Linked DNA regions of Coturnix japonica. The protein of the gene in region 4 interacts with the protein of the main gene of each other region in a biochemical or structural test. Links are inferred from orthologs where the notes say so. Each region holds a gene or a part of one and is shown on either strand. Other genes may lie near its edges.

Region 1 (3,538 bases), on a different chromosome or scaffold from region 4:
AACACTTCTTTTTTAAGAATATTTCTAACTTGACTTTCTCACTCCATGTTAGTCTTAGAAATAAAAATAAATCACTCAATGCCCATAGCAGAATCAGTTTTAAGACTGGGGGAGTGAAAAGAAACCTGACTATTCATGTTGTTTGCACTTGGAACATCAGACATTCTGAACTTAAATTCAGACGATGGACTTGTAGAAGGCAAGACAAAAAGACTGTAAGTCTGTATGTAACTTCCAGTACGTTATTCTTACATGTGGAATTAAAATCATTCATCTCTTGAAAATTGTGCTTTATAAACAAATATCAAATTTCATTTATGAGTTCAGGTAAGGTTTTACTTACCCTTCTTGAGGATTTCTTTGCATTCAGGATTAATTGGTGGGGCATTTGGCTTAGACAGAGCATTGGATAGAACTTCCACTATGCACCTTGTTATCTAGGAGAAACAAAAATCAGACAACAAATTCTCACAGTGAAAACAGAAATCCTGCTTTTAACCTAGTCAGTAAGTGAAGCTAATTTAGGGTTAAAGCTCATGGTTAATGGTTATGAGCTTAGCACATACTTAAGAGTTTTGGGCAACCCTCAGCTCTACCAGTGCCTTTGGGTAAGAAGTGCTCTGCTCCTCACTCATCTATTAGTACAAGAACAGTAATTAGTTAGATCTGATGCACATATAGTTAACAGGCTCCTTTTCTATGTTTTTAAACATCCTGTTCTGTACAAAGGAGACTCAAACAACACAAAAACACCACCACAATACATCCAAAATATGAGGATCATCCAGTATGAGCTGCCCAAATGAGGACAAAACAAAGGTACTGCTTGGGCTCTGGGTAAACTAAAAAATACCTTTATAAGTGACATACTATACAAAAATATTTGAGGAGTTTACTCTGTGAAAATCTTGTCTTCTTGGATGGGTATGTGCTTTGTAGCACCACCTCTTTTTGTACTTTACATTTAAAATGGAGAGTCTGCTAAATGCTGAGGAAATATATTGAAAATGGCACAACCACCTTTACACCTAACTGCAAAAAAGCAAAGTAGTTCTTCTGTATAAATTCATCCAAAATGGTTTTCAAGTTTGGAGTTGTTGTTTGCGGGCAAGCACTCAGATCTTTGGATCCAAGACATTCCTCAGGTTGACAACCTGGGTAACTGGATGGGAGGAGACAAGAAAAATGTACGTATGGCTGATTTTCTTTTCCCTGCTTTTAATTATTTACAGCTGTTTGCTAATGTAAAAACCACACTATCAACCAGTGGAGAGATACTAAGGTCACATTAGAAATCCTGAGAGCAGCCAGTAGATTTAATCAAACAGGTTAAGAACCTCTTTCCAAGGAGCAAGCAAGGACTGCGTTAGAAAGGTCATTACATAACAACTGTAGACATTTTCCACCATTATACTTTACTCCTAATTTACCATTTCACTTTTTACAGTCTGATTACATGTACTATCAAGTAATACTTCATATGATTTTTTCAGGCAGCTGCAAAACGTAGAGTTTGACACAAGAAGCCAGCTTCTGTTTCCATCAAAGGCACTGATAGCTAAAGGACTTCTGAGCTTTTTCCCTTAGGAAAAAAAGAATAAACAACCTCCAAGAAAGATAAAACCAAAACCCAACGTTTCCCTGAGAGCTTAAAAAGAAAACAGGAGCCAGAATGCCAGGGAGCATGAGACTCATACTTAATGAAATTTGCTTTGACTTCAAGCTACTCACCATTTCTTCCATATGGTCTTTTTCCACTGGAACTGTGCTGACACCTGGAAGAAAAATAAATTATTATAGACTCATTAGTCCTAGCAGGACCATAAATATCACTGGCAGAAGTCCTCAGCACATTAAGGCTGCCTAAACTTTGGGCTGGAAGGGTAAGTAAACCAGACGCATTTTATCTTTTCTTCCTCAGAACGGGAAAGCAGTGCGGAGACTCACCCTAGAAGGAAAGAATCATAGAACAGCTTGGGTTGGAACAGATGCCAAAGGTGATCAAGTTCCAACACCCTGCCACAGGTAGGGCCACCAACATTTCTAGCACTAAAAGAATACAACCCAAATAACAGGAATAGAGCCTGACAGTAATGGGTATTCACGTAGATGTACCTGTTTGGTGGTGAAAGAAGAGGAAATAAAATCTGTTCCCAAACTGAGATGTATTTCACCTTCTGCAGGGGCTTAGTTTGCCCCACGACCATCTCCCCACCAAGAGACCACTTCAATGATGAAAAACAACTACTGGCTTAATCCTTCTGGAACAATCCTGTCTCTCACCTGGATTATTCCATTCACAAAGTGGTCCATTATAAGCTCAATAAATGAACTGAAAGTTAAATATCAGTGAAAAACAAACAAACAAACCTCCAGAAAGAAGCAGTACAACTCAATCATAAAGACACTTTGGGTAATTAACAGCTCCCCACACCACTTGTACTGCTGGTCCAATATATATGCCTTTGGAAAGAACCTGCTGTAAACAAAACCTTCAGGTTGCTTTACTTTTGCCATCACTGCTGCATTAACACAGAATTGTTAGAGTTGGAAGAGACCTGTGAAGGTCATGTAGACCAACTCCCCTGCAGTGCACAGGGACAGCTACAGCTCCATCGTGTTGCTCAGAGCCCCTCCAGCCTGACCGTAAATGTCTCCAGGGACAAGGCACCCACCACCTCTCTGGGTAACCTGTGCCAGTGCCTCATCACCCTTATTATAGAAAACACTTTCCTTATCTCCAGTCTAAACCTCCCTACTCTTGGCTTGAAACCACTCCCCTTTGTCCTATCACACGAGAGCCTGCTAAAGAGTCTGTCCTCTTCTTTTTTTCTTATTATGTCTCCAGCAGGTTAACGTGTTTGTCTGTGAGGCACTAACAAACTTTGTCAAGTCTTATCCACCTAGAGCTTTACTGAAGTTAAACAAGTCTGCCAGCCACACAAGAGTAGGTAAAGAAAAGAGTTATTGTATCACTGCTTTACAGACTTACTACACTTATTATAACCTCCATGCCCAGACACACAGTTTGGGATGCAGTTCTGGAGTTTTTAGAAGCATCCCCTTCTCTTCAATACTCCTCAAGGAGTATAGTACTGGACCCAATTAATAGAAAGATTATGGAGAACAGAAGCCAATTTACCTTACAGTAGGCAGTTTCAACTCCCAACCCCTGGGCCACATACAGCCCAGACCCTTCCCCACACTATCATGGTGGCAGATCTGCCATGCCAAGTAGCCTGGCCCCTCAGCACCAACCATCTGGGCTAAAACCAGGACACAGGGCTTGGACAAGTGGCAGCTCAAGCTACAGTAAATAAGTCCAAAGCTATGGTAAATAAGTCCACAGATTTTGATACATTGGCTAAACCTGTAAAAGCAAAAAATAATCATCAGTGGGGCTGCTCTGAAAGTAATGCCTCCTGCTTCATTATGTTGGTCCAGGATGTCAAAGGAGATTGTTTGGTGGCATGGCAATAGAGATGGAACCTTCCCACTAATATCCCATTGCATTTTGTTGCCACGTGACAGATGGCAG
Region 2 (4,068 bases), on a different chromosome or scaffold from region 4:
GGGGAGCACAGCAGCCACAAAGGGAAGAACAAGGATGTTCCCACCTCCTGCTGTGGGAGGCACAAGGGCTTCCTTCTGGTGGGTGTCTCTGTGTGGTGCCTCAGGGGGAAGTGAAGCTACACAGATACCACAGGAGCCCCTGTTCTTTCTCCTACCAAGACTTTATTAAAGTCCTTTTTATTTTCTGTTTTTGGAAGTTCCTGGCCAGGAGCCTTCCTGTCCCTTTAATGCAGTGCCAATGTGTCTCAGCTAAAGTCCTGTCTAAGAGCCCCAGGGAGCAGCTGGCTCCTGACAGTGCGGGCAGCAACACCCAGCACCGGTGGAAAAACTGACATAGAAAGTGCATTTTTGAGAGATGGCTCCCAGAGGGGCCAGCCCTGATCCCAGCCACCACGTGCAGCCTGTGCCAACACAACTCTGCCTCCGTGCCCAATCCCAACCCTCACTGCTCCCTCTCCCACCCCGGAGTGCAAACTGTCCTGCACCCCATTGCCCCCGGCCTCACTCCAGAGGTTCCTTGATGAGACACTCCTTCAGGCTGGGCTGCTGCTGCAATGGCACCCCGGCCTCCTGCAGGCCCTGCAGCCGGGCCTCCGACTGCCGCTTATCCTTGCCCACTTTCCAGGCCAGGTGGACGTGAGCCTGGAGGAAAGGCCCAAGCAGCGGGTGGCTGTCCTGGGCCTCCAGCAGCTGCAGCGCCTGCTCACAGCAGCCGTGGGCTTCACCCAGCTGGTCCAGCTCCTGGTGGCAGACAACCAGCCCGGCCAGCGTCAGGAGGAAGCGGCCGGAGCCGCAGACCCCCAGGCGGTCCTGCAGGCGGTAGGCGTTGCTCCATGTGGCCAGAGCCTCGCGGTACATCCCGGTGCAGGTGAGGCGCTGGGCGGCACGCAGGTCCTGCAGGAAGAAGAACTCGAGGAACTCTGGGGAGCGGCGGATCTCGGCGATGGAGTGCAGGTGGGACAGGAACTGCTCGAAGGCTCGGCTCCGCTTGGCGATGGTCTCGGCCGTGAAGTTGCGCCGCAGCCTCTTCCTGGGGAAGGCGATGGCCGCCATGTCACAGCCAAAGCGGCCGCGCAGGCGGCGGTTCAGCCGCTCGAAGTCCGAGTAGCGGCGGGAGATGGAGGCGGGAGCTTTGTCCAACTGCCCGGAGCGGGTCAGGTAGATGGTGTAGAGCTGTGGGCAGGAACGGGGGTCGGCGGCTGCTGCGATGGGGGACGTGGCCCCCCCGGTGAGGCCGGGGCCGAACCGAGCGCACGGCAGCAAAGGAGCCTTGGGCCGGGCACACGCTGCGTGCCCAGGGCGGCGTTCACACGGCGGAGCCGCCGGCCGTAGTTACCTGAGGCTCATCTGAGCCGCGGCACCGTCGGGGCAGCACAGGGAGAGACACAGAGAAGTGAGCGCCCGCCCCAACCCCCACCCGCCGTCGCGGCCCCGTGGACGCACTCACCACGTACTTGGAGGAGCGCTCGCTGACCACGCTGGCGCTGGTGACCTCGAATTGCAGCCGCTGCGGCACGAGGCTGCTCCGCGACCGCCGCCAAAGCTCCTGCAGCTGCCGGCTCAACACGCTGCCGGGCCGCGCCGCCGGGCCCCACTCTGTGCGGGGAGAAGCGCTCAGCGGGCGCCCGGGGCGGCCATGGCAGCCATCCATCCATCCATCCATCCATCCATCCATCCATCCATCCATCCATCCATCCATCCATCCATCCATCCATCCATCCATCCACCCATCCATCCATCCCGGCACCTGCCTCCGTCCTGCGCAGCATCCCCCGCAGGCAGTTCCTCGCCGCCGTCCTCCTCCTCCTCTTCCTCCTCCTCCTCGTCCTCGTCCTCCTCGTGCCCGCTGAAGCTCAGGGTGCCGCTGAGTCTCGTGGACAGCCCCTCGGTGTCGTCCTCCAGCTCCGAGCTCTCGGGACAGTCCTCGGTCTCAGCGCCGTCGTGCGTCCGCTCCTCCCGGTTGCCGTCCGCGCCCAGCGCGTGCCGCAGGCGGTGCAGGATGCGGGCGGCCATCCCCGGCTGCAGCGACGGGTCAGCCCGGCCGCCCCAACACCGGGATGGGCACGGGGAGGGGGAGGAGCGGGGGCAGCGCGAGACCCCGCATCGGGACGGCCCCGCTCCCGGCCGGCTCCCTCCGGCCCCCCCGACCCGCGCCCACCCTCAACCCCGCTCCCCCCGCTCAGCCCCGCTGCCGCTGTGGGCGCTGCTCTCCGTACCGTACCGCGCTGTGCCGGGCCGCTCCGGGCGGTGCCGAGCGATGGCCGCTCCGCCGCTGCTCGTCCCGGGATCCTCCCTGCGCGGCTCCGCCTCCGCTGGGAACCCGGATCGCGGCGGGGCTGTCACGTCCCGGCACGGCGCAGCGCGGCTCGGCGCGGTCCGGCTCCGTCTGTGCACGCACAGCCCGTGACCGATCCCCGGGCACCGCTCCATGATGGTCCCCAACCTCCGGTGCCCCGGCACCCTGACACCTCGGTACCCCAACAGCGCAGCGCCCCAACACCGCCACATCCCGGCACCCGGCACCCTCAGCCGGCACCCTGCCATCCCCAGCCTCGCCACACGCTCCTGCTCCTGGGCTGCAGCCATGGCCGCTGCCTGGCACTCACCGCCCTTATTTAGCACCATCCCCGCTCTGTCCTCGCTGCTTTCTTGGGAATGTCTATTAATATCGAGGAATGGTCCAGCTGCTGCCATCACTCTGTCCTTGCTCCTTGCTGTGCTGTGCTGCCCCATCCATGGGGTGCCAGCAGAGCTGCCCCAGCAGAGGGTCCCGAGGGACCGACAGCCCTTCTGCAGCCACAAAACCCTTTTGGAGAGCTGCAGGCTGTGGGCCACTTGGCCAGCCAGACCCAGGGCCACGGACCTGGCAGAGCCGCAGCCTTTGAGGAGGCCACGGGCATCGTTCCCACTCCCCAAGTCACGGAGCAGCCGTGCCATTTCTGGTAGTGGCTGCCAGCAGAGTGGGAACCCACAGCAGTGCCAGGACCCACTGCAGGGCCACGCTCCTCACCCACCTGCAGCTCACAGTGATGGTCTGAGGGCTGCAGCTTCGCCTTGACCTCTCTAGGACAGAAAGGAGTGAAAGGAGGGACTGATGGTTTGGGCACAGCCAGAGTAACTGGGGTGCTGTGGGGTAAGGGATGGGACGTGGCCCCAGTGCTGCCTGCTTGTCCCAAGCCGCGGCACCTGGGTTAGCAGAGGTTCAGGCAGCACTACCCAGCCCTGTCCCTAATGCCTGGCATGGGGGAAGCCCAGTCCTGGTGTTGGGGATGCTGCTCTTTGGGGCTATTTTTAACCCCCTCCATGCTGAGCTGTCCTGGAACAAGGAGGTGTAGATGAAGGAGCCGCACTCCTGCCAAGATGCTGCGTCCCTCCCTGCAGGGCTTGAATTTCTATCCCGGCTTCAGACCCACGTTTAATCCCCTGCTCTTGGCCAATAACGCTTTGGCTAAATTAGGTAAAATGAGCCCGTTGCCAATGAGCGGGGCCGGATTTCCACCAGGGAGCTGATAGGCTGCTGGGGCTGGGGGCCAACGGCTGGGGGCACGGGGACACTACAAATTGGGGAGCCAGGGAGTGTGCGGGGGCTGCTGGTGCAGGAGGTGCTGACTCCCTGCAGGAAGAGAGCAGCAAAGATGGCGTCAATGGTAAGAGCTCCAGTGGTGCTGGGTTGAGCTGTGGTTGGGCCGGAGGTGTTGGGCACCGCGGTGTGGGGCTGCCAGGCACCTCTATGGGGCGATGGCAGAGGGATGATCCCTTCAGGCTGGCTATGGCAGGAGGTAGCATGGATGTAGGGGCAGTGGGATACGTTCCCCATGGCGTATGTCCCCCTATGGGATGTGTACCCCTATAAGATGTGCCCCAAAGAGGGAGTGTGCGGCTGGCTGGGGGTAATTAATGGGTGCATGGGGCGATCAGAGCTGGAGCTGGGCTGTGTGAAGGCGCTGAAAGCCGAGCGCTGGGTCATGCGACACCTCTGCGGCCCCAGACAGCCCGCGCCTCCAGGAGAAACTCGATCCAGGGCAAACAGGTGCCCGCTGAGCTCTGCTCCCTATAAGGGGAGTCGAG
Region 3 (4,268 bases), on a different chromosome or scaffold from region 4:
TTTCCAAGAACCTCTCATGTATATTGTTATAATTACTCTTGGGAAGCAGGCACAGCCTCATAGCTGAAGATGTGGTGGCTGTGGAGGTCCCCATCTCAATTCCATCTCTGCCCATGCATGGCAGCAGCGATGCCCTTGCAGTGCTGGAAGCTCCCAAAGCACAGAGCAGCGGTCCCAACACCGTGCGTATGGCACAGGTTGGAGACGCAGAGCTCGGTGGCTGTGCAGATGGACCTGAGATGAGCTCCCAGCTCAGGTGGGCACTGCAAGAAATCTGCTGCAGGTGTGGAGGCTTCCTCGCACGCAGGGTGCTGCAGCTGCCCGCGCTGCTCTTCCCTCCCACAGCGCCAACAGCTGAGCTTCAATTGGAGGTCAGGTGAGGGCTGAGCAGCGCAGCCCCCTGCAGCACCAGCAGAATGCTGCCCTTCAGTGAACTAACAGCAGAACAACAGGCTGCTCAGTGGGGGCTCTGAGCCTCTTTGGACACACACAGGATCTGTCATTCTCTTCTAAGGATGATGAACAACACAGTAAAGAGTAAAACATTGTGTTGTTTATGAAAATACAATATGCAGTTTATTGATTTGTTGTTGCTGTTGTTGTTTATTGCCATGATTTGTCTTTTTTTTTTTTCCCCCAAGAGTCTATTTCACACACTATGTATAGAGCAGAGAAAAGTTGGTATCGCAGTATATGACCAAACAACCGCAGTTGTTTTTTTCTATAAAAGGAGGAGAATGGAGGACAGGCAAGATTCTGATCGATTCTGACAGTTCAGCAGAAGCACATTACAACTTGCAACAGAGCAGCATCAACTCTACAGAAGAAATCATGATAGCATTCCTTATTGCTGAAACAAAATGCCAATGCTACCGCAACCCATAGAATGCCTGCACCTTGCAATCCAAGATACCGTGGTGCATGTGTATGCGTATATATGCGTGTACTTGTAAACAGAGATTTTCCTTATAGCTTCTGTGTGCTTTTATGGAGAACTGGATCACTCTGTGGTTTGCCAGAAGTAGCCACGAGGCAGATTAATCCTGTTTGGTGATGCAAGGCTGCCTCATCGAGGATTTCTGATGCTCCAGCAACGTGATGGACTTCTCAGAATTCTCCAGGTTTCGGAGCAGAGTCTCTAACCTTCTTTTGATCTTCTTCTGATCCTCGATAGCGCATCCAATGACAACGGACTGAAATTTCTGATCAATGGGTCCTGCCGGCACATCAGACGTGCACGCGCCGTAAAGCGACATTAAGCGGATTTTGGCGTCTTCCAAATCATCCAGGAGCTTGTTGACGATTTCATCGATCATCTTGGTGGCGTGCAGGAGGGACTCCTGCTGCTGGGCGTTACGGATGGTTTCAACAGAAACCTCCACAGTGAGGGTTCGGCCCATCAGACGGTTGGCAGTCAGGTTAAGTTCTTCTCTCTCACCTAAAGCGAAAGCAGAAGGTATCCTGTGTTACTGACTAACACCTCCCAGTGCCTTTACATCACCAAGACAAGCAAAGTGCTACCGTGTGCCAACATGGATGTCTGTTGTTTCTTTTCTTTTTAAGAGGTGACAATCAGATTGATTTTCAGGGGCCAGAGGTTTTACATCTACGTGCCTGAGTCCCACCCATGTCACAGAGGCTGGTGTCTTCTGATCTGAAATTAGGCTGTAAGCTTTAAGAAAGGTATAAGCGATGTTTTTCCACTGCTGACACAGTGCTTGTTTTGTCACACTGCAGTAAAGCACCATATCAGGAAGCATTGATCATTACAAAAGCAGGCACGTGAGGGATGGACCCTCAATGCTGCTGTGAGAAAGAGTATAAATACACGGCACCTCGAAAGGCCACAGACAGAAGAGTTACTTTGCTTACCAGATGCAGTTAGAGGCCATTAGCAAAAAGGAAACGGGGACCCCAGAGGGAGGGAAGGCCCATCGGTATCCTCTGCCAGCTCCAGCATGGTGCCTTTAGCACTGGAGCAGCTCCCCTTGCTGGTCTGCTTTTAGGGCAGACAGGAGGGGATGGCAAAGCAGCTTCTCACCTTCACTGATGTGCCTCATGTCCTGGCTGTTCTGTATGTTGTGGATCATTTCTAGCAGGGTTTCTTTTTCTTGTTCCATAGCAGATGCTGCGTCACGGAAAGCCTCTACCCTGGGCGTAGTTAAACCAAACAAAGTCTTTCAATAATAAAACACATTTTCCCCCATAAAACTGCCAAGATCTTTCAATTAAACAAAAAAAAAAAAAAAAAAAAAAAAAAAATCAACAAAAGAGCCCCACTGCAAGTGCAGTCAGCTTGCAAGTATCTGTGCTCCAGACATTCTGACTCCATGACCCCCACCTACATAAAAACTTAATCTTTCAAGACACAAAATCATTCTAAAACTGAATACATGAGCCAATAGATAGAAAACAACCAGCTCCTTTGTAATGTGAGAAGAATGGGACAGACAGGCAAGGTGAGCATGTTTTGTTGCCTTTATGGGTAGTCCTGCCAAGCGCCTGCTTTCACGTCGCTGTGGTTTGTTTCTCTCCATAAAGATGCAGCAAACTGGCAGGAGGCTGTGACTCACAGAGGATGAAGCTCTGTTCTGGTCAGCTCCTATTTCTGGGCTTGCAGGAAAGCACGCAGTTGAGCTATCCTGAAATCAGACCCTTTCCCTGCACAACTCACTGTGCTGAACCTGACACGTGGCACACTGCTGCCAAGGGGTCAGGCACGGGGCAACACTGTGCCATGAGCTGTTCAGCCAGAGAGCTGCCCAGCTGTGTGCTGCTGCGTTGCCACTCTTCACCCACAACCCATGGCTTCTTCCCTGCCACGGCTTTTAGGAGAGGGCTTTTGCTCAGAGCAGTGTCACCTAGAGCAGCACAAGGGGAACAGCTGCCTAGGAGAGAAGGGGCAGGAGGGGCACCTTCCTGACTGCGCCTGCTGGGTGCTTGGAGAGATCCCAAGTCCAAGCAAAGCATCACATGAACCTGGCCAATGGCTTGGGATGCTTTCAACACAGCTCAGAGACCTTGATGCTGCAAACAGGCAGGGAATGCACCCGGCCTGGTATATTCATTAAGTCTGTCCAGAAAGCGAAAGCAAACCGAAGCACTGCTAACTCTCCAGTTCATTCTTCTTCCTTGCTTTATAGTGCTCTTCCGTGGTGGTGCTGGGAAAAGGGAGAAGGCAGGTGGGGCCAGGAACTCAGGGCCTTCAGTACCCACACGCCTCACGCACGCTGAGCTCAAGGAATGGCTCTGTTTGACGAAATCTTTAGGCTGAGTTCCCCAGTGAAACCACACGCTTCAGGCCCTCCCTTTCATGTTAATGTGAGGAGGAATGGGAAAAGTTAATGCAATGCAAATTCTTGCCAGGAGCAAATATTCTTAATTGTTATTTTGGATGGGTTAGTAAGAGTAATAAGGGCAGGTGGAGCCACTTCATACTTCAGATGTCAGCACTTTATAATTTAGGAAGTCTAGCAGAATTTTCATACGTGCCTCGCCGTGCCTTTAAAAAAAACCAGCACTGTCACCATTTGGAAAGTCCATTTTGGTCCCCAGAAAGCTGAAACAAGTGCAAAATTTCACTTTTAACAGCATTTTTACATCAACTCAAGTCTGGCACTGCCCTGACTCAAAAGCAAAGGTCTGCCCTCAGTGCGCAGGTTGACCCGTGGCTCTTACCAGCTCTGCGTCCAAGATCAAGCTACCAGTTCATGGCCTACAAAGCCAGACTGTCAGAGACAACGACTGTGTACCAAAAACAATGACCAATCACACCTTTGATTGACATAAGTTTATAACTAAATCAGCTGTGACAAACCTGCAGGGCGCCCAGCACTTGATCCCCAGCTGGCTCCCTGCACCACTGCTGAGGAAATGACAGAATGGCCCAGGTTGGAGGGGACTTCAAGGATCATGAAGCTCCATCCCCCCACCACAGGCAGGGCCACCAACCTCCCCATTTAACACTACAACAGGCTGCCCAGGGCTCCATCCAACCTGGCCCTGAACACCTCCAGGGATGGGGCATCCACAACCTCTCTGGGCAGCCTGTTCCAGCTCCTCACCACTCTCATAGTAAAGAACTTCCCCCGGACAGCCAGCCTAAATCTATCCTCCTTCAACTTAAAGCCATTTCCCCTTGTCCTGCAGTTATCTGCCCTTTCAAAGAGTTGACTCCCCTCCTGTTTATAGGCTCCACCCAGCAGCACCAGAGGGCCAGACCATGAGAACCTGTGAGCTTTCACTCAGAAACACGCAGGGCTGGGTTC
Region 4 (4,127 bases):
AGCAAGTTGCCCCATTACCGTTCTGTGGCTCCATGTTGCTCTCTCTGGAAACAGCGGATTCCTCCGTCCCCACGCACCAGTACATTCTGGGTCTGAGTGGTGAGGATCCAACAGAGCAAACTTTCTGCAGCGCCTCCAACTGAGCGTGGTCAAAGCTGAACGTCAGCTAAATGCAGGGCAGAGCGGCCGCTACCAAATGCCGTCCTGATGGAGCATCGTTTACCCTGATTGGAAATCAACAGCAAAACAAATTAAATCATTCCGGTATTGATATTGCAAGCAGTGCATCCCCATGCACTCCAACACGGCTGAGAACATGCTGCTTTGAAGAAATACACTACACAAATATGAACGCAACGATTTTCATAATAGCTTCGTTAAGAGCGTAGCATGAATTAAGATGGGAAACAAACAACATCTCCTCTGCTGCTCCCAGTTTTCCTCCACCAAAGCAGCTGTGTCTGGGTGGAGGATATATGGGGTGGGCAAAGGGTCACAGTTGCAGCCCCACATTCCCCACAAGCCCTGTGAAGGCAGAGGGCTGAAACAATGAGACGCAGCTGGAAAAATCCTAAAGGCAACCTCAGAACCTTTCCCACCCACAATGACTGCAGCTCTGGTGTGAGAAGCTGGAAAACGCTGATGTCGACACTGAGAATCCTCTATAGAAAGAAGAGGGCTCAGAGAGACACAACAGCTTCCCTGCCCTCTTCTTTTAGTGAAGTCCAGTGCTCTCAAAACAGCTTCTTGAAGTGCATCCTGCATGCAAACCAAGCTTAGGAGCTCTCATGCTGGCTGCATATGGCTCAGGTGCCTTCCAGGGCATTTCTACCTTCTCACCTCTTCCAGTCTACACGCCTGTAACATTTTCTCCCTTTTTTTTTTCCCCCACACAAAACCCCTTTTCTTTATCCATAGAGATTAAAGGCTGACTTTGCAGTCGGTGCCCAGCTGACACCAGCGCTCCTTCATTTTCTGCTTTCAGTTTCAGTCTGCAAACGCATCTCAGATTCAACACAGCAACCTTTCTCACCTATTAGATCCCTATTAGATTTTCTCACGTCTGCTGTGCAGTGCCGAGGTTTGGACCAGAAGCTCTGACTGAACAAAATACACGACGCACCTCCTGGTTTGGTAAGCAGGGCCCAGGTGTGTGAGTGGCTTCCTGAGCTGGGGATGGGGTCACTGATCCACCACCACCACCCTAAAGCTGCCCGCTCCTTCCTCACTGCACACACAGCACTTTAACCACAAACCAAGTGTTAAAAAAAAGACCTCACTGAATGCTTCATCAGCTGTTTCCAGGCAAGGGTTTGAGTTTTAGGTGCACTTATGGCAAAACTCGGCTTCTGCTGATCCCTATTTTATGGTGCCTGGCAGTGGGATGCACAGCTCAGAGCTGGGCAATGGGCGAAGCCACATACTGCAGTTTGGTGCTTGGGAGCTTCTCAAAGATGGGAAAATTGATTTGGGTGATCACAAGAAAAGAGGGAAGGGCTGCATGGAGGCACCTGCACACCCACCCCACAGCTGAACCATTTTACAGCCCTAACTCCAAATGGACACAGGTGTGCAGACACAGCCCTGCATCACGGCCTCCATTCATCAGAATGCAGCCCCAGCACCTGGAAGGGGCTGAGTAAGGAAACTTTCACTTGGGGGTGTGAATATATGCTCTTCATATACAGCAAAAGGAAAAGCAATAGCACAATTTCAATCACTAGTTCCCTTTAGCTGCAGCTATGGCAGCGAGTGTTGAGCTGTCAGTGCGCCGCTGTATTTCCGTATTTCAGGGCCTCTGTGTCTATTAAAAACACCCCCACAGCGCTTCTACCTTAACCAAGACGTGCCCAGCTGTAACACGTGCAAATACCGCGTGTGGATTTGATGTAAGGAGAGAGAACGGTGCCGTGTGGGTCCACTGAGCTCCGCAAGAGCACGAGAGCACACAGCCGGGGGAGGGCTGCAATGCCATCACATGTATTCCCAGCCTCTCTCCTGGGACGCCGTCACCGCGTTTTGCTACGGTGCAGCCCCACGGGAAAAGCACGACGGAAAGGGAGAAGCGAAGGCGCTTCGTGCGTCCAACTGAGCAGGAAACGGGACCATCGATCCCAGCCAGCTCCCGTCTGCCGCCCCCCCCTCCGAGCACACGCAGCGCCCGCCGCCCCCTCTCGCTCCGCAACTTCGCTCCCAACTTTCTTTCTGAAGCTCGTTCCCCGCTTCTCTCCGCATTTTAAGTCCCCTCCCCCCCCCCATCCCCACCGCTTCCACCCGCCCCGCAGCCGGGGTTGCGCTGTGCCACGGGCAGCTGTTACCTCCTGCGTCCCGGGGCTGCCGGCTCTCCGGGGCCACCTCCTCCTCCTTCGCCCGCCTGGCTGTGCGGCGGGGGAGGCGGAGGGAGGAAGAAAGGAAAAGGAGCGGGGCAGCCGCGCGGCGCCTCCTCCACCACCGGCCCCGGCTGGGCCCGCCCGGGAGCCGCGGTCAGGGCGCGGTCGGAGCCGCGTCTCGCCTGGAACCCCGGCGGCTGCTCGGGGCGGTCCGGTCGGCAGCGCCTCTCAGCGCCCTTCCCCGCCGTGGGGCGCAGAGGGGACCGCGGGGCTGCCCCTGTGCCGGGCTCGTTCCCCACGTCCATCATTCGGTGTCCGCCCTCTCCCTCGGTTCGCCCTACTCGTGCTTACACCGCTTTAGTTTTGCGCGTTCTTATTCGGCAAACATTGGACGGCACAAGGGCCGCACCGCCATCTCTCAGCCGCGCGGGTGCTTCGCTGCTCGGATCCGTGCCCTGAAGCCCGGCCCAAGCCGAGCTCTGTTTTCTGAAGGCTGCTCCTTCCCCGGATCCCGGAGCTGCTCCTCCGGATAAACACAGCAGCATCGCCCCCTGCCTCCCGTCGGGCCGCAACCAACACGAGCGGTGCGCGCATCCCTGCCCACCGCAGCGCCCTGTACCGATATACGGCTGTATCATCCCCACCCCACGGACCTTGTGAAGGGAACGCGTTTCGGCGTGACTTATGTTATCCATAACGCTCCCTTCAACGACACAGGTCGTTCCCTGGACTTAAATCAAGAGATGGGGCTCTTGAGGATGGAAAAAGCCACACCCGTAGCTGCTGCTGCCTGAGGTTTGTTCTGCAGCGCTTTTCTCGCTGTGATTACGGAGTCACAGAGAAGCTGGATCCTCACAGGTGCTTTAAAGGGTGTTCAGACGGCCGTTAATCTGCATCTGGCTGCAGCCACCTGTTGGACACACTCTGCACTTTCTATCGCGTCTGCTGCCTTTTATGCCTCACGCTCTGGTTCTTAGACAGGCCCTTCTTATACTTTTCTTTTTGGCACCATTGTTTGGAATAAGAATAAAATCTCAGATCACAGTTTGTTTTGAGAGAGGCCACAATTTCCCTTAGCACGAATTTCTTCATCTTTTTTTTTTTCCTTTTCCAAATCTCATCCTGCTCTTCCTCCTGACTTTACTCATAACTCCATTGCTTACATCACTCTGTCCCTCTGTATCTCCGTGCTTCTCCCTTCTCACATTCGGCTGCAGAGCTCCCGAGTGATGCTGCTGCAGAGTGGAAAATGGATGGGATTTGGCTGTGTGTGTGTAGGGAGGTGGTGGCTGTTTGTATCTCTTCTCACCTGGTTTAGTGGTTGGTGACCCTGCCTGTGGCAGAGGGGTTGGAACTACATGATCTTTAAGGTCCTGTTCTACCCAGGCCATTCTATGCAAAGAGCGTTAAAAACGGTGCTATGTTCTTGCTCTGTCTCCTCTGCAGATAAAGGAGATAAGACAGGAATGTCTCATCATGGGGCAGTCATACAACAGTGGCTGTGTCTAAGAGGGTTTCACGAAGCCCCGTCTGGCAGCATGTTCTGCATGAAGCCTTAACCCCTTCCAGTGTGCAGGCAATAGAAGTTTCCCATTCCCATTCCTTCCTTGGAGCCACATCGATATGCAGCACACAGAAACTATTTCACAAAGTTCAACATTTATTAGGAACTATGACAAAAAAGATACCCATAGTCTAAAATATATACAAGAAGTTTAAACATAGCATTTTCATGTACCCTTGGCTATAAAAATACATTAGATTAACTGTATCCTAATTTATAAATATAGTTTTGTT
Region 5 (4,317 bases), on a different chromosome or scaffold from region 4:
TTAAAATAGAGTAAACATTATAAAACGACAACAGTATGTTTCATCAACAAACATATTCTCTCAATAAGTAACAGTGAGAGCTGCAGGAAAGAATATAAAGGAATAAGGAAGTCATCTCACTTACTTCCTGTAGGATATAGGTCCATACATATAATATGAATCCAGATAAGACACATAATTCTTTCCACTGAAATTTCAATCCTATTTTCACAGAATATATTTGTGTCTACATCTGCAAAAGTACAAAGTACTTTTTAGGAAGACAACTACTTAGAAGTAGTTCAAGTATGACCTTCAATAAATCCTAATTAATTGAGTCTGAAAGGGCACTTTGTTCTCAGTCTACTTACTACTACAGCAGCGTCCTTGAAAAGACAAGATCCATCACAGCTGATACAGCTCTTAGAAAATAAATACTCCGGCAGAGGAAGATCTGTAGGCATCTCTAAAACACCCTTACAGTTCAGTGCAGATGTTGTCAGTGACTGTTTATACTTTTTAAACCACTGGGATATAAACACCTCACTATAAACACCACCGAATTTTTGCTTTTTTTTTTCTCATTTTTTTGTATGTTTACTTTAGTGTTAAAAATGTTAACTTCCATAATAAGGAAAATAGCAACAGATGTTTAAGCTAAACAAAGACTGCTATAGTAGAGTACTCTGAGCAGCTTTTAACTTCTAAAGCAAAGATCTATTCAAATAACAATTAATGGAGAAAAGGGTGGAAAAGGAGATCTGGAAAGAATCACCCATTAAAATTAGGCATAATTCTAATGAATTGAAGTAGTGAGCCAAAGCTACAGTTTTTCTGCTTCAGTCAACAAAACACTCATGAACATGTACTACGTAAGCAGAATTTTAAGCAAACTTCATGGTCTTCATCAGAAGTTGTTATTTGACTCCAAACAAAGCACTGCTTACTACGAGAGAAACAAAAAGTTAAAGGATCCTTCAAGTTGTCTTTTCTTAATTAGTCCTCTAGCTATAATGGAGAAAACACAGGTAGGAAAGAACCAGAAAATTCAACTAGTCTTGCACTATCTCAGTTCTGGATTACTCAGTCCTGATATGAAAACTCAAACTTCTTTAAAACAGCTTTATTCAAGCAAGTTATCTCCATATTTGAGCAGGAAAGGAAAAGAAAGAACAACGACAACAAAAGAATCAAATATTAACAGTTCTATAAGAAACTCCTCCATTTCCCAAAGGAAGGAAATGTGTCCATTCTGATTTAATGGTAGAAAAGATGTTATTTTCCAAAGAGAAGCTCAGCTCTGGCCTAGTCCTTTTTTTGAACATATGAATAGGCATTTTCTATTCCTATGTGTACTCCTTATTGTTTCTTCCCTAACAACTACAGCAAGTTTATTTTCCAAATGAACACGGAAAATGTTCCTGCTGAATCAGAAGAAAGATTTCTGCAAGGCTTGTGTGTGGCTACAGCAAAAACAGTTCTACTGCCAAGCCGAATTAGCTCTGTGGTGCCTTTCTTTCCAGTCAAAGCCAAGCCATAACCACTTCTTCAAACTGCACGTAGATAAAACTCCACTAAGATTAAGAAACTTATTTTACTCTATTACCTCAGGCAACTTCAAAACAGGACTATTAATGCTTACAAAATGGAGAGCAAATGCCAACCTACATTAGCTGGAGACAACATAGGTAAAATTCAGAGTCCAGCAGAGAGAAAAAATTACATTTTCCAACTAGTTGTGTAATTCTTTCCACAGGGGACGGGAGCGTGGGGTGGTTCTTGGGAAAGGAGGGGTGTGCGCGATGGAGGAGGGGGAGGCATCTCGCAGCCAGGGCTTTCTCTGAGCTGTGCAGGAAATGAGAAGTCAAACAATGGGCTACTCTGTGCTCTGCAGCACGGCGCCTCTGTGAGCCCCACGGCTGTGCACTCAAACTCTTCATTGTTCGCGACCCAACTGCTGAATTGATGTAAAAATTATTTCGAGCTACACTGTATAAAAGCGTCTCCCCCACCTAAAAGCGGCGGTGCCCGACTGCTAGGTACGGTTACAAGCAGAAATGTAAATTAATACCTACACCCATATTACAAACTATTTCCTTCACAGCTGCAGACATTACCAACAAACAATCTGCCTGGCAGACACAGAAGCAACACAGTCCTTTAAACAAATCTAACGTGAAAAAGAAAAAAAAAAAAATGTCCTTCCCTTAAACAAAGCCGTATTAACAACCCAGACTGTGAGCTATCTTAAAACCAACCATAGAGATCTTCTTTCAGGAAGAAAATCCACGCTTACAAATAACATAAAACACACCCGACAAAAGAGCTTTGTGAAATGAAAGCGTTACCTTCGTAGCACAGAATGCCAATATTGTTGTTCATCTTGTCCAAGTATTGGTAGTTCAACAGGTCCATCTTCATAAATAGCATTTATTGGGCTAGCAAAAAAGACCAGCTTGTTTGCTTTCACCCAGATTCAGGGAGATGGAAGCCAGGCGAATGGTGCTGAGGACGCTCCCGGCCCCCGAAACTTCACTAGCACAAGGCCCAGCCTTCACTAATCAAAACAAAGTATATTAAAGAAAAGTTGGAAGGATTAAAACACACACGACCCCTTCCAAACTTTTACAAACTAAAAGTATATTGCGTCCTTCAGTACAAAGAAAACTGTCTGAAAACTTTTCAAGTCTTTCTCCAAAAAAAAAAAAAAAAAAAAAGAAAGAAAGAAAGAAAGAAAAAGCAAACAGAAACAAGGGAAATTTCCTAGGACAAAGACACACTAGTTCTCCTCACAGCCCGCTGCAAGTTAACTGCACTGACATGCAGGCTATGCTTGGTATGACTCGTATGTAAACCAGCTTCCTCTCTCTATCAGGCGGGGAGGACTGAGCATGCTCAGTGAATCCCTGGAGCTCTTCAAATGTCAGGGATATTTTCTGTACAAGATCAGGCTCTAAATGCACTAAGTGTTTGAAAGAAAGAGCAGGAGGAGGTGGAGAGCCTGCACAGAAGGGGCCTGTGCAGCAGGGGCCATGTCAGAGCCGCCCTGACAGGAAGCAGCGCTGCCACCGCGAGCGGGAAGCGAAGGCGGCACGGCTGCTGGGAGGCCTCCATGCGGGCAGCGGCCTGACTGCTGCACCACCACAGCACGGCGCAGCCATCTCTGAACAGTCCTTAGCTCTGTTCTTTTGCTGTATTTCCCAGCACGACCTCAGGCACTGCCATGTACTATTGCAGTGATATAAGAGTGGCAGAGCAGAACAGCAGCTGGTTAGGGAAACGTGACACTGATGGTTTACCTCTGTGCATAGGTACTGTGCGCTCACACGCACTGCTGCCAATCAGTTCGTCACTACATTTGATTCTTTTCAGGTATATTAGTTAACAGAAATTCTGTTTGGATCGTTAGCAATTGGTACAGCTCCACATGAAGTGCCGCAGATGATGGAGGTTTCCACAGCAGTTGGTCTCATCCCAGGATGCGGTCAGCCCTTCTGCAGTTCAAGCCTTGACCACAAAGGCTGGCGCTGCTTGTACAGATGTGTGTGACTCATCTGGAGAGGGCAGAACATCTGTATAGAGGAAGGCATGTGCTAACCTAGCAGGCATCGGCTTGAACTTCCCGTGGCTAATCAACACCTGAAGGCTGATTTGACAGAAACAGAGAAATAAACCCCGGAGAACTTTGTTCTAGGACAAACAATAAGGCTAATGGAGTCCTAATCTTGCCTCTACCTCTCTTTCCTCTTCAAATTGGATGGCAATTCTTCCCTGTCTTCCTGGGAAGGAGAATTCTAATGGTACACAGGAGAGCAGATAGTCAGTGAGAATCAGTAAGAAATTTTAATTTCCACTTTGGGAATCCTTCTGCTTTGTTACTGCACTACTGAGGCACTTTGCCACAGCATTTTGAAAAGTACTACTTAAACTACCAACTAGTCTGTTCCATCTGCCGTTCTTCACACGCTTCACTAATCTGAGATACCTTCCACTGAGCTGAAATCAATCAGTGCATCAACAGGTTAGATGTGGCATGCATAGTTATTAACATCACCCCAGGATAGTTCTTACTTCTTTTTCCATACACTGATAGTTGCTACCACAACTAGTGGTGTGCCATACTATCTCTATGTTATCTCTGATATTATCTCAAGTACTTCTCTTAGCATTGCACACACTTTTCTTCCATAAGGCAGATATATATCCAAAGCTGTATATAATGTATTTAGTACACTGGAACTTTTAACACAACAGCATCCCCTAGAGGTAACTGAAAATCCACATAACATCTTTCTGAATCACTGTAGACTTCACATCTAAGTAAATCAAATTTGACTC
Region 6 (4,193 bases), on a different chromosome or scaffold from region 4:
CCAATCAGATTGATTAATCCAGCTCATCCGTACAAATACTGTCTTGTCCACACTTGAGAAACCTTTGGGTCATCTATGAGCGTATGTCTTAAGGACTACTGCAGCTTTAGGTTTTCCAAAATGCGACAGGTTAGATAAACTAAAGATGTACCAAGGGGGACTGAGTGCATGAGCATCACCACACATTGGGTGGAAATCCTCATGTATGTGTCCAACCCACTACTTTTAGAGTTTTATTGCTCTCTTCTTTGTTTTTAATGTGGGAATAAAATATATCAAAAAACAGAAGCTCTGTTATTTATATAAATTAACTATATCATATAGTTTAAATGTGGCCCAAAACAACTCACAGAATCACAGAATGGCCCGGGTTGGAAGGGACCTCAAGGATCATGAATCTCCAACCCCACACCACAGGTAGGGCCACCAACCTCCACAGCTCTGGCAAGACAACCAGCTGGACACCCACGCACCCAGTTGAGAGCCATAATTCTTCACAATGCCCAGAGAGAGCATGATATTGATAGATACCACCACAGACCACTCAGGTTCCAGTGATGCATTCCTCACCCCGCTGGAGCACTGCGGCATCACGCACAATCTCTGTTTCTAAAGAGGCATTCCTTGTACCTGGGAATTTTGCTAATGCTCCCAAGACAGAACAACCCACCTTAGTCACCCTGCTATGGACTCAGCTTTTATTCCAATAATCAGAATTAATATCACACATCTAAACTTCAAACAGTAGTTCACCAGCGACAGACACCCAGACAGTACTGCTAACATGCTAAGAATTCACTCCTTGAAATAACTATGAATGCCATTATGCTAAAGAGTGATCCTAAATACATATAACCTTTTTTCCCTTTGTTTTTAGTAAAAAGTGAGGAGAATCAGCTATGAAGCTCCACCAGTCAAAGATGAGAGAGTAAACAAATATTTGTAATTGCAAGCATGAGCAAACGGTACTTTGAGAAAACCAACTTGGCAGTCTATCCAACTCAAATTAACTCCTATAAAACCCCTCCAAGGTATGGACAAATCCAAGAGTTAACAGTTTGTGGTTATATTTAACAACAGGTTTCTGGCTGAACCAATATCCATCTGCTTACTTCTGACACTTACAGAACAGATATCTGCCTGGGGTACACATAAGACGCACAGACAGCTCCGCTCCCAGTCTCTAGTTTAGTACACATAGAATCAAACGGCAGTCCAGTTAAAGGGATACATTGAAATGAGAGCAAAAGAAAAGATGACATAGGAAAAGCAGCTCAGAAGGAAGATCTAAGCATCTGTTATGTTCAGTACAAACAGGGTTCTGGGGCATCGCAGCAGGAACAGGAATAAATTCATCTGTCCAGCTTACAGTGAAATCACCAGCAATCTTTTCCAAGCAAACGAATGTGTGCTATTCTAATTAGAGAAACCAAACCCCTCAGACTGAAGATCTGAGTTTAAACTGGATTTCTCTTAATTCTGCCACAAACATTAAAGGAAATGGATTTGCCATGAACACAAAAAGAAAAGTGAAGCAGTGTGATAGATGATCCGATAGCAATCCAAGTCTGGCTGATTCTTCCTGACAGTGAAATGGCTGGGAATACAATCCGCTCTGTTTACTTATTTATTTTTAATGAGTATTTAGACTTGGCATTTGCTACCTATTTTATTTGCAGGCAACATAGGCTTGAATCCCAGGGAGTATTTACCAAGATCAGAAGGCCATAAGAATAATGGAATAACGTGGAAAAAGACTAAGGGCGACTTGAAGTATTTCATCACAGTGAAAGAAAAAGATACCAAATAGAGGCTTTGCCATCTCTTTGACACACATAAGGCAGTTTAAGCTGCTGTGAACTACCGTAATTAATTAGAAACAACAGCGGGAAGGAGCACATCGTTAGACATTTTAGAGAGAATCCCGAGTACAGAATTTGCATTGCACCTGACTGTTAGACCAGCTGCTGGCCTCGTTCACGCTTCCCCTTTTCAGAACATTTGTAGTGCGCAGGGCTGCTCCGCGTTCTCTATAGCAAACAACAACTTGGATTTACGTATGTAAACATCAGAAATGCATCGGCAAACATCGCCATATGGAGGAAACGGGGATATAATGCATTTTCTGTTTGCTTTAGAAAGTTCACATCTGTGGACAGCATCGTCTAAGTTACAAGCCAATAACTTTTCATCTTCTGGTCATCGTCACTTATCAATCCAAACCCGATTTCATTTAATGGTGCATAAAGCATAAAGGGAGAAGGACATCAGAGAAGGCATCATCTCCGAAAAACTTACATAGGAACATACTTGAATATTCTTCTCCTTCACATCATAAATTTAAAGAACAAGGCAACTCACATCTGTTCTAACTTAGCTATCGGTCTTAAAAAGCAAAGAAAAAAAAGGGTTGGATTATTCCTATCTCGTTTCAATTTGAGGAAAGGTTTCCGGAGCCGGCCCGAGCACGGCTCCACCAGCCGCGCACCGCTCCCGAGGGCGGGCATCCCGCCCGGTACTCACCCCCGCACAGCAGCAGGAGGCCGGCCGCCCCCCGCACCGAGCGCATCTTCCTGGGCCACCGGCGCTCCGGGCAGCAGCGGGGCTCTCAGCAGGGCCGACCCATGCCCGAGGCGGGACGTGCTGAGCCGGGATGCAGACCGCGTTGGGATGCTGTGAGCCGGCTCCTTCCCTCGCTCCTCCCGGACCCGACCACGCAAGCGGGAAGAAGCTCCCGATCCCCTCAGCGTCTCCCCGGTGCTCTGCAAGGAGAAGCCCAAGTGAGAGGCGAAGCCGCTCCGCTCCCCGCCGCACCACGCCCGCCGCCGAGCCCCCCGCGCTGCCCGGACCGACACCGCCCGGCTCGGGCCGCCCCCGGCCCCTCCTCCGCGCCCGCCAGGCGGCCGGGCCGCCCCCGCCCCGCCCGCCCGAGGAGCCCCCGCGGAGGGGACCCCGCCCCGAGCATCCCCGCGGGCGGCAGCGAGGTGCGGGGCGGGACGGGGCCGCCGCGGCGGAGAGCCGGGCCCGCTTCCTCCGGCCGCCCCCCGGAGGGAGGAGGAGGAGGAGGCTGCGAAGGAGGAAGAGCCGCGAGCCGCGCAAACACACCAGGTGCGAGACAAAGCGGGGACAGGCGCTGCGGCACCAGGATGGATACGAGTGGACGCCTCCCTCCCCCCCCACCCCCCACAAACACATTAAACGCCTTGAATAATTAATCCTTGGGAGAGGAGGCAATTTTTGCTTGCTGTTAGGAGGATGCTGAGCGAGATGAGCTCCACCTGGCAGGCAACCAAAGTAACCCGGAATGCGAGCATCCCGCTTGGCGGCCAAACGCAGCTTTTAAACCGCAAGCGGGAAGAAAAAGAAAAAAAAAAAATAGAAAAGAAAAATCAAGGCAAAACAAAACCACCCTTCAACAACAGGTCGGCTTGCTGAGAAACGCGGTCGGAAAGCCGCTGCTCGCCAGCGCCGGGCGGACACGGCACAGCCCCAGGACGGGCGCACAGCGGCCCCGGCCGCCCGCAGGACCCCGCCGGGAGCAGCCGGCAAAGCCCCTCGGCTACAGCCGGCCCCAGGCAGTATCTCTCCACCCCGAGCGCTCCAACCTGCCGGGAAGATGTTTTCTTCTCCCCTGCCACGGCCGCGCTGCTGGAAGATGCGAACGGCGGCATCGAGGCACCGAGCGGCAGCTACCGCTCTGCTCGTTCCCAGCCTTCACACTTTGAAACGCCCTGGAACGAGCAAGGGGACGCACGCGGCCAATGACACTCAGCGTAAACTGTCATTTTACACGGCAAGAACTGCCATAGATTAACTACAAATCAAACGGGCAATCCTCCCTAGCCTAATTCAGACTTCAGTTAAATGCACAACACTCTAACAGGCAAAATGTAAGCAACTGCCCTATAGAACTGATAAAAGAAAGCAAGCTATTTTCACTTTCCTTCGGTTCCATCAAGTATCCCAGTATTCCTCTATGGGGAAACAGTAACTCAAGTACAGACACACGGCAGGGAAAGAATGAGTTCGAGATGAGTAGCAGTGAGTGCCATACATTCATTGCGTTTGGAGCTGCCTGATGGACAGCATGAATGCAGCTCCTGCACACTTAGTCACATGCAGAAGTGTTCGTGGGGCTTCCACAGCCGCCTGACAGGGGGACCCAAGAAGCATTTTTGGGATGTCTCCATAAG
Region 7 (3,538 bases), on a different chromosome or scaffold from region 4:
TTTTATTGCAGCTGTCCATTGAGTGTAAAGCATTTGGGCTCAGCTGAATACACTAGAGAAATAGCACTGTGTATCGTATACAACTATATTAATGCTAAGAAAGTTAAAAACAAAATAGAAGTAGGTACTACTACTGACTCATCTACGAAGAGGCAGACTAAACAAACATTATTTCTATGAAAGTGGTTTGCTGGTCTCAGAGACTTTAAAACAGAGATACATTTTTAAAACAGAAGACTCATGCTTTTAAAACAAATATACTAACCTAAGGATATTTCTGCATCAAAGCTAAAGTATCTTAATAAAAAGCAAGTCTTTAGGAAAACTCTACTAGTTTAGTTTATATGTAAGTTCAACCAAAACTTTACAGCTGTGACCAACAGAAAATGCAAAACACTGTTCTAAAGTTCACAATATCAAGTTAGACACGCACAAGAAAGCTATTTAGCCAGTATTTCATGGCTATACCACTAATTTAAAGATTCATAAAGCATTCCGAAACAATAATACACAAAGACTGCATTTTTCATACCATGTGTCCCTCAGCACGAGCTTTGTTTTGCATGGCTTCCCTCTTCCGTTGCCAGAATTCTTCAACTTGCTTTGCTCTTTCTGCAGGTAACCATCCTTTCTGCCTGAATAATTGCAACACATATCAAGCTCTAAGCTTCTGAAATACAGTATTCATATTACCAGTGCATTTATCCTAACTGAGAAACAAATAAGAGATTTACCTTCATAAGTAACATATCTTCAGAAAAATGCCTTTTATCAGCCAAAATGCTGAAGTCAGACTTTAACAATACAGAGACAAACACACTCAACAACATAAAAAGTACAATTAAACTCTCCTCCCAAACAGTGTTGCTCTCTTGCACACTCTGTTCATAAAAAAAAGAATGTTGAACCATAATTTTAGTGGTTATTTCTGACAATTTCTCAGCTTGTCCCATTAGTAATCACATTTTGAAAAAAAAATAAGAAGACAAACACATTCCTTCGAGATTTTCCTTCGGAGACGGGCAAGAAGTCTCCATAAGCCATTCAGTAAGATATCCAACAGCCTAGCAAGTCTGATCTAGGCTTGGAGCAAGAGCTTCTACCACACAGATAACTGTCTCAATGGTGGCATTCCAATAGCATTTTGGTGGATTCATGGAGATTTTTGTTATTTTTCAAGTGATTCTGAAGGAGTTTTCCTGCCACAAAATTAACCACAACAGATATTTTCTGTTTGGACAGACAAGAAGGATGCATTCACATGTAACTGAGTATGTGGCAAGTCTACTAGCGCACACATATGATCACGTGCTAGAGGAAACTTTCTAAAAAAACTGGTTAAAAACAGACTGATGAGGGAGCTCTCTAAGGAAAAGAAGTTTAAAAAAAAAACCACAAAAAACAAAAAAAGTTCATGGACAGTGTTAGAAATGCTAACAAACCATAGAATGATGAGACAGTTCCCTTCCCAAGGCTCCCCCAGTCTCGTCTGACTGTAGAGTTGTACTAGCAGTCCAACAAAAGGCAGGAAGATAGCAGGAAAAGCAGACAGCAATAACCCATAAGGCGAAACAGTTAAAGAAAGAACATTTTGCCATACGGGAGCTACTGTCAGCAATTCATAAATAACTTAGCACACTCATAAAACACCTCTGAATCTTATTTTCTCCACTGTGCTACCCAGCTACAAATGAGGAAATAAAATGATATTTCCATATGCATAATTCAAGAAGAGAAAGAAAACTACTTTGATAGAACAAGTGCTGTAGTTGTTCTGGAAATGCAAAGCCGTCCACTGTGTTACTGGTAAAGAAAGAACCACTTGATAACTTCTTTATAAATCTATTTGACTCACTACATGATTTTAACTGTAGCTGTTCATTACACATGAACTCAACTGACAGACAAAGCCAATCAATATCACAAAGTTTAGCCCACAGTTTTGAATAAGTGCCCCCTGAGCAAAAAAATCAACAACAACAAAAAAACCAAAACAGCCCAAACCCAACACTCTTCAATTTAAACAATTTTTTTCAATAATGATTTTCCTAATCTAAGGCTGAGTAACCTTTAATAAGTAACCTTATTAAAATGCTTCAAAAAAATTTCTCCTGGTCAGCCCTACTGCCCAATTTTTAAAGACTACTGAAGTTGAGAACACTTCACTTTAGTTGGGGCAGCATAATCAGAGATACTGTAATTTGAAGATTTTTCAACTTTTAAAATATACAGTTTAAAACACAAAACTTCCATGATGTCTGTGTAACGCTGTAATGTGACAAGCAGGACAGCAGTAATAGCTATATAGCTATATAGTAGTCCAGATTATGATTAGAAAAAGAAAAATTATCTGTTTCGAAACTCTTGCATAGTAAGCTCATTGAGTGCTTCTGAGTTCATGGATTCAAGAAATACCGAATCAATTTCTCCTCAGGATCTCCGTGCTCTTCTTAATTCACAATGGTTCATCTCAAATCTGAACAGATTTAAAACAATCTTGGCTAAGTCAAGCAAAGTACCATTTAATACCATCAGATGTGTGAGGCAAGCAATACTATAACCTATGCTATGATTTCCTAACCAGGCAAGATTTGGAGATTGTAGCACTGTGTGCAAAAGACTGAGAATAATCAGAGGAGACTGAAATGACACATTTCAGTCATCCAGAAAAAATACACTGATCAATACACAGAAGCTAAAAGTGCTGAGAGCTTTCTAGATACTCTTCTATTCTTAAAAAAAAATAATAAATAAAAATGCTTAGATGGAGAAAAGGCAGTCAGGATGAGATGACAGGACAAGGAAGCGTCTTGGCATGTAACACAGAAATCAGAACTAGAAAAAAGCAGAGAAGGCAGTTCTACATAGACTATAACTGCATTAAGCCAGTCCTCTTAGCTTAAATCTAGCTTAGGTTGCTGGTAATCCATTATTTTTTCCCCTACTGGGAAAGCCAAGGTTTCCATTGGTTCTGAAAGTACTGTGGTCTGTGAGGGATCAACACACAAACAGACAGCACACTACCAATGGATAAAGATGATTCTCAGACACGTCCAACTACTAAATGGAACAAGATAGAACAAAATTCTAACATGTAGGGACAGATTTATGGATTATTTTAGTCCAACCTGTTTGCACTGGCTTGTTTAGACACCTCCTTCAACCTTTTCACTTTTTTCCTAATTGCATCAGCATCAGGTAAATGGTGATGACCTGCAGGCCCCTTAGGAACTCCTGGACGTATTCCAGGTGGAATTCCTCTGTAGATAAATACGTACAGCAACTTTCATTACTTTCATCTGAAGCAGACCATATACAACTTCACATGGAAGGTAGTCATACCTCTCAACAGCTTCTTGGCCTTGTACTTCTGCCCTCCATTTGGCTTGCCTCTCTTTAGTTACTTTGAAGGTTTCCTTTTGCATCTGGTCAAAAATAGCATGATAGTGCTCATACTGTCCTCTGAAAGAGGCAGGAAAATGACCAGCACCTCCTCCACCGCTATAATATGGTGCCTGAAAATCAGAAGAGGTAAGCT

What was found.
Region 1: the proteins of LRRK1 (region 4) and CHGB form a complex in vitro, tested with the Homo sapiens proteins (2 studies listed by BioGRID and IntAct, with this or other methods). The link is inferred for Coturnix japonica from reciprocal best matches to the Homo sapiens genes LRRK1 and CHGB.
Region 2: the proteins of LRRK1 (region 4) and SNX21 form a complex in vitro, tested with the Homo sapiens proteins (2 studies listed by BioGRID and IntAct, with this or other methods). The link is inferred for Coturnix japonica from reciprocal best matches to the Homo sapiens genes LRRK1 and SNX21.
Region 3: the proteins of LRRK1 (region 4) and BAG2 form a complex in vitro, tested with the Homo sapiens proteins (2 studies listed by BioGRID and IntAct, with this or other methods). The link is inferred for Coturnix japonica from reciprocal best matches to the Homo sapiens genes LRRK1 and BAG2.
Region 5: the proteins of LRRK1 (region 4) and VGLL4 form a complex in vitro, tested with the Homo sapiens proteins (2 studies listed by BioGRID and IntAct, with this or other methods). The link is inferred for Coturnix japonica from reciprocal best matches to the Homo sapiens genes LRRK1 and VGLL4.
Region 6: the proteins of LRRK1 (region 4) and RET form a complex in vitro, tested with the Homo sapiens proteins (2 studies listed by BioGRID and IntAct, with this or other methods). The link is inferred for Coturnix japonica from reciprocal best matches to the Homo sapiens genes LRRK1 and RET.
Region 7: the proteins of LRRK1 (region 4) and NEK1 form a complex in vitro, tested with the Homo sapiens proteins (2 studies listed by BioGRID and IntAct, with this or other methods). The link is inferred for Coturnix japonica from reciprocal best matches to the Homo sapiens genes LRRK1 and NEK1.

The regions. Positions count from the first base shown.
Region 1 is NC_029518.1:14,702,335-14,705,872, reverse strand, and holds part of CHGB (secretogranin-1), read right to left. Parts: intron 1,776-3,538; coding exon 1,732-1,775; intron 438-1,731; coding exon 344-437; intron 1-343. UniProt on the Homo sapiens protein: Secretogranin-1 is a neuroendocrine secretory granule protein, which may be the precursor for other biologically active peptides.
Region 2 is NC_029535.1:9,487,576-9,491,643, reverse strand, and holds SNX21 (sorting nexin-21), read right to left. Parts: upstream 2,814-4,068; 5' UTR 2,607-2,813; intron 2,387-2,606; 5' UTR 2,217-2,386; intron 2,130-2,216; exon of another isoform or gene 2,020-2,129; 5' UTR 2,014-2,019; coding exon 1,752-2,013; intron 1,597-1,751; coding exon 1,448-1,596; intron 1,174-1,447; coding exon 502-1,173; 3' UTR 139-501; downstream 1-138. Other genes in the region: TNNC2 (troponin C, skeletal muscle), read left to right, coding at 3,636-3,647. UniProt on the Homo sapiens protein: Binds to membranes enriched in phosphatidylinositol 3-phosphate (PtdIns(P3)) and phosphatidylinositol 4,5-bisphosphate. May be involved in several stages of intracellular trafficking.
Region 3 is NC_029518.1:79,192,625-79,196,892, forward strand, and holds the end of BAG2 (BAG family molecular chaperone regulator 2), read right to left. Parts: intron 2,152-4,268; coding exon 2,042-2,151; intron 1,439-2,041; coding exon 1,038-1,438; 3' UTR 532-1,037; downstream 1-531. UniProt on the Homo sapiens protein: Co-chaperone for HSP70 and HSC70 chaperone proteins. Acts as a nucleotide-exchange factor (NEF) promoting the release of ADP from the HSP70 and HSC70 proteins thereby triggering client/substrate protein release.
Region 4 is NC_029525.1:15,837,418-15,841,544, reverse strand, and holds the start of LRRK1 (leucine-rich repeat serine/threonine-protein kinase 1), read right to left. Parts: upstream 2,827-4,127; 5' UTR 2,682-2,826; intron 2,500-2,681; exon of another isoform or gene 2,319-2,499; intron 225-2,318; 5' UTR 86-224; coding exon 19-85; intron 1-18.
Region 5 is NC_029527.1:2,993,407-2,997,723, forward strand, and holds the start of VGLL4 (transcription cofactor vestigial-like protein 4), read right to left. Parts: upstream 2,836-4,317; 5' UTR 2,410-2,835; coding exon 2,328-2,409; intron 1-2,327. UniProt on the Homo sapiens protein: May act as a specific coactivator for the mammalian TEFs.
Region 6 is NC_029521.1:3,953,459-3,957,651, forward strand, and holds the start of RET (proto-oncogene tyrosine-protein kinase receptor Ret), read right to left. Parts: upstream 2,838-4,193; 5' UTR 2,570-2,837; coding exon 2,524-2,569; intron 1-2,523. UniProt on the Homo sapiens protein: Receptor tyrosine-protein kinase involved in numerous cellular mechanisms including cell proliferation, neuronal navigation, cell migration, and cell differentiation in response to glia cell line-derived growth family factors (GDNF, NRTN, ARTN, PSPN and GDF15).
Region 7 is NC_029519.1:22,234,524-22,238,061, reverse strand, and holds part of NEK1 (serine/threonine-protein kinase Nek1), read right to left. Parts: intron 3,516-3,538; coding exon 3,343-3,515; intron 3,261-3,342; coding exon 3,129-3,260; intron 636-3,128; coding exon 533-635; intron 1-532. UniProt on the Homo sapiens protein: Phosphorylates serines and threonines, but also appears to possess tyrosine kinase activity. Involved in DNA damage checkpoint control and for proper DNA damage repair.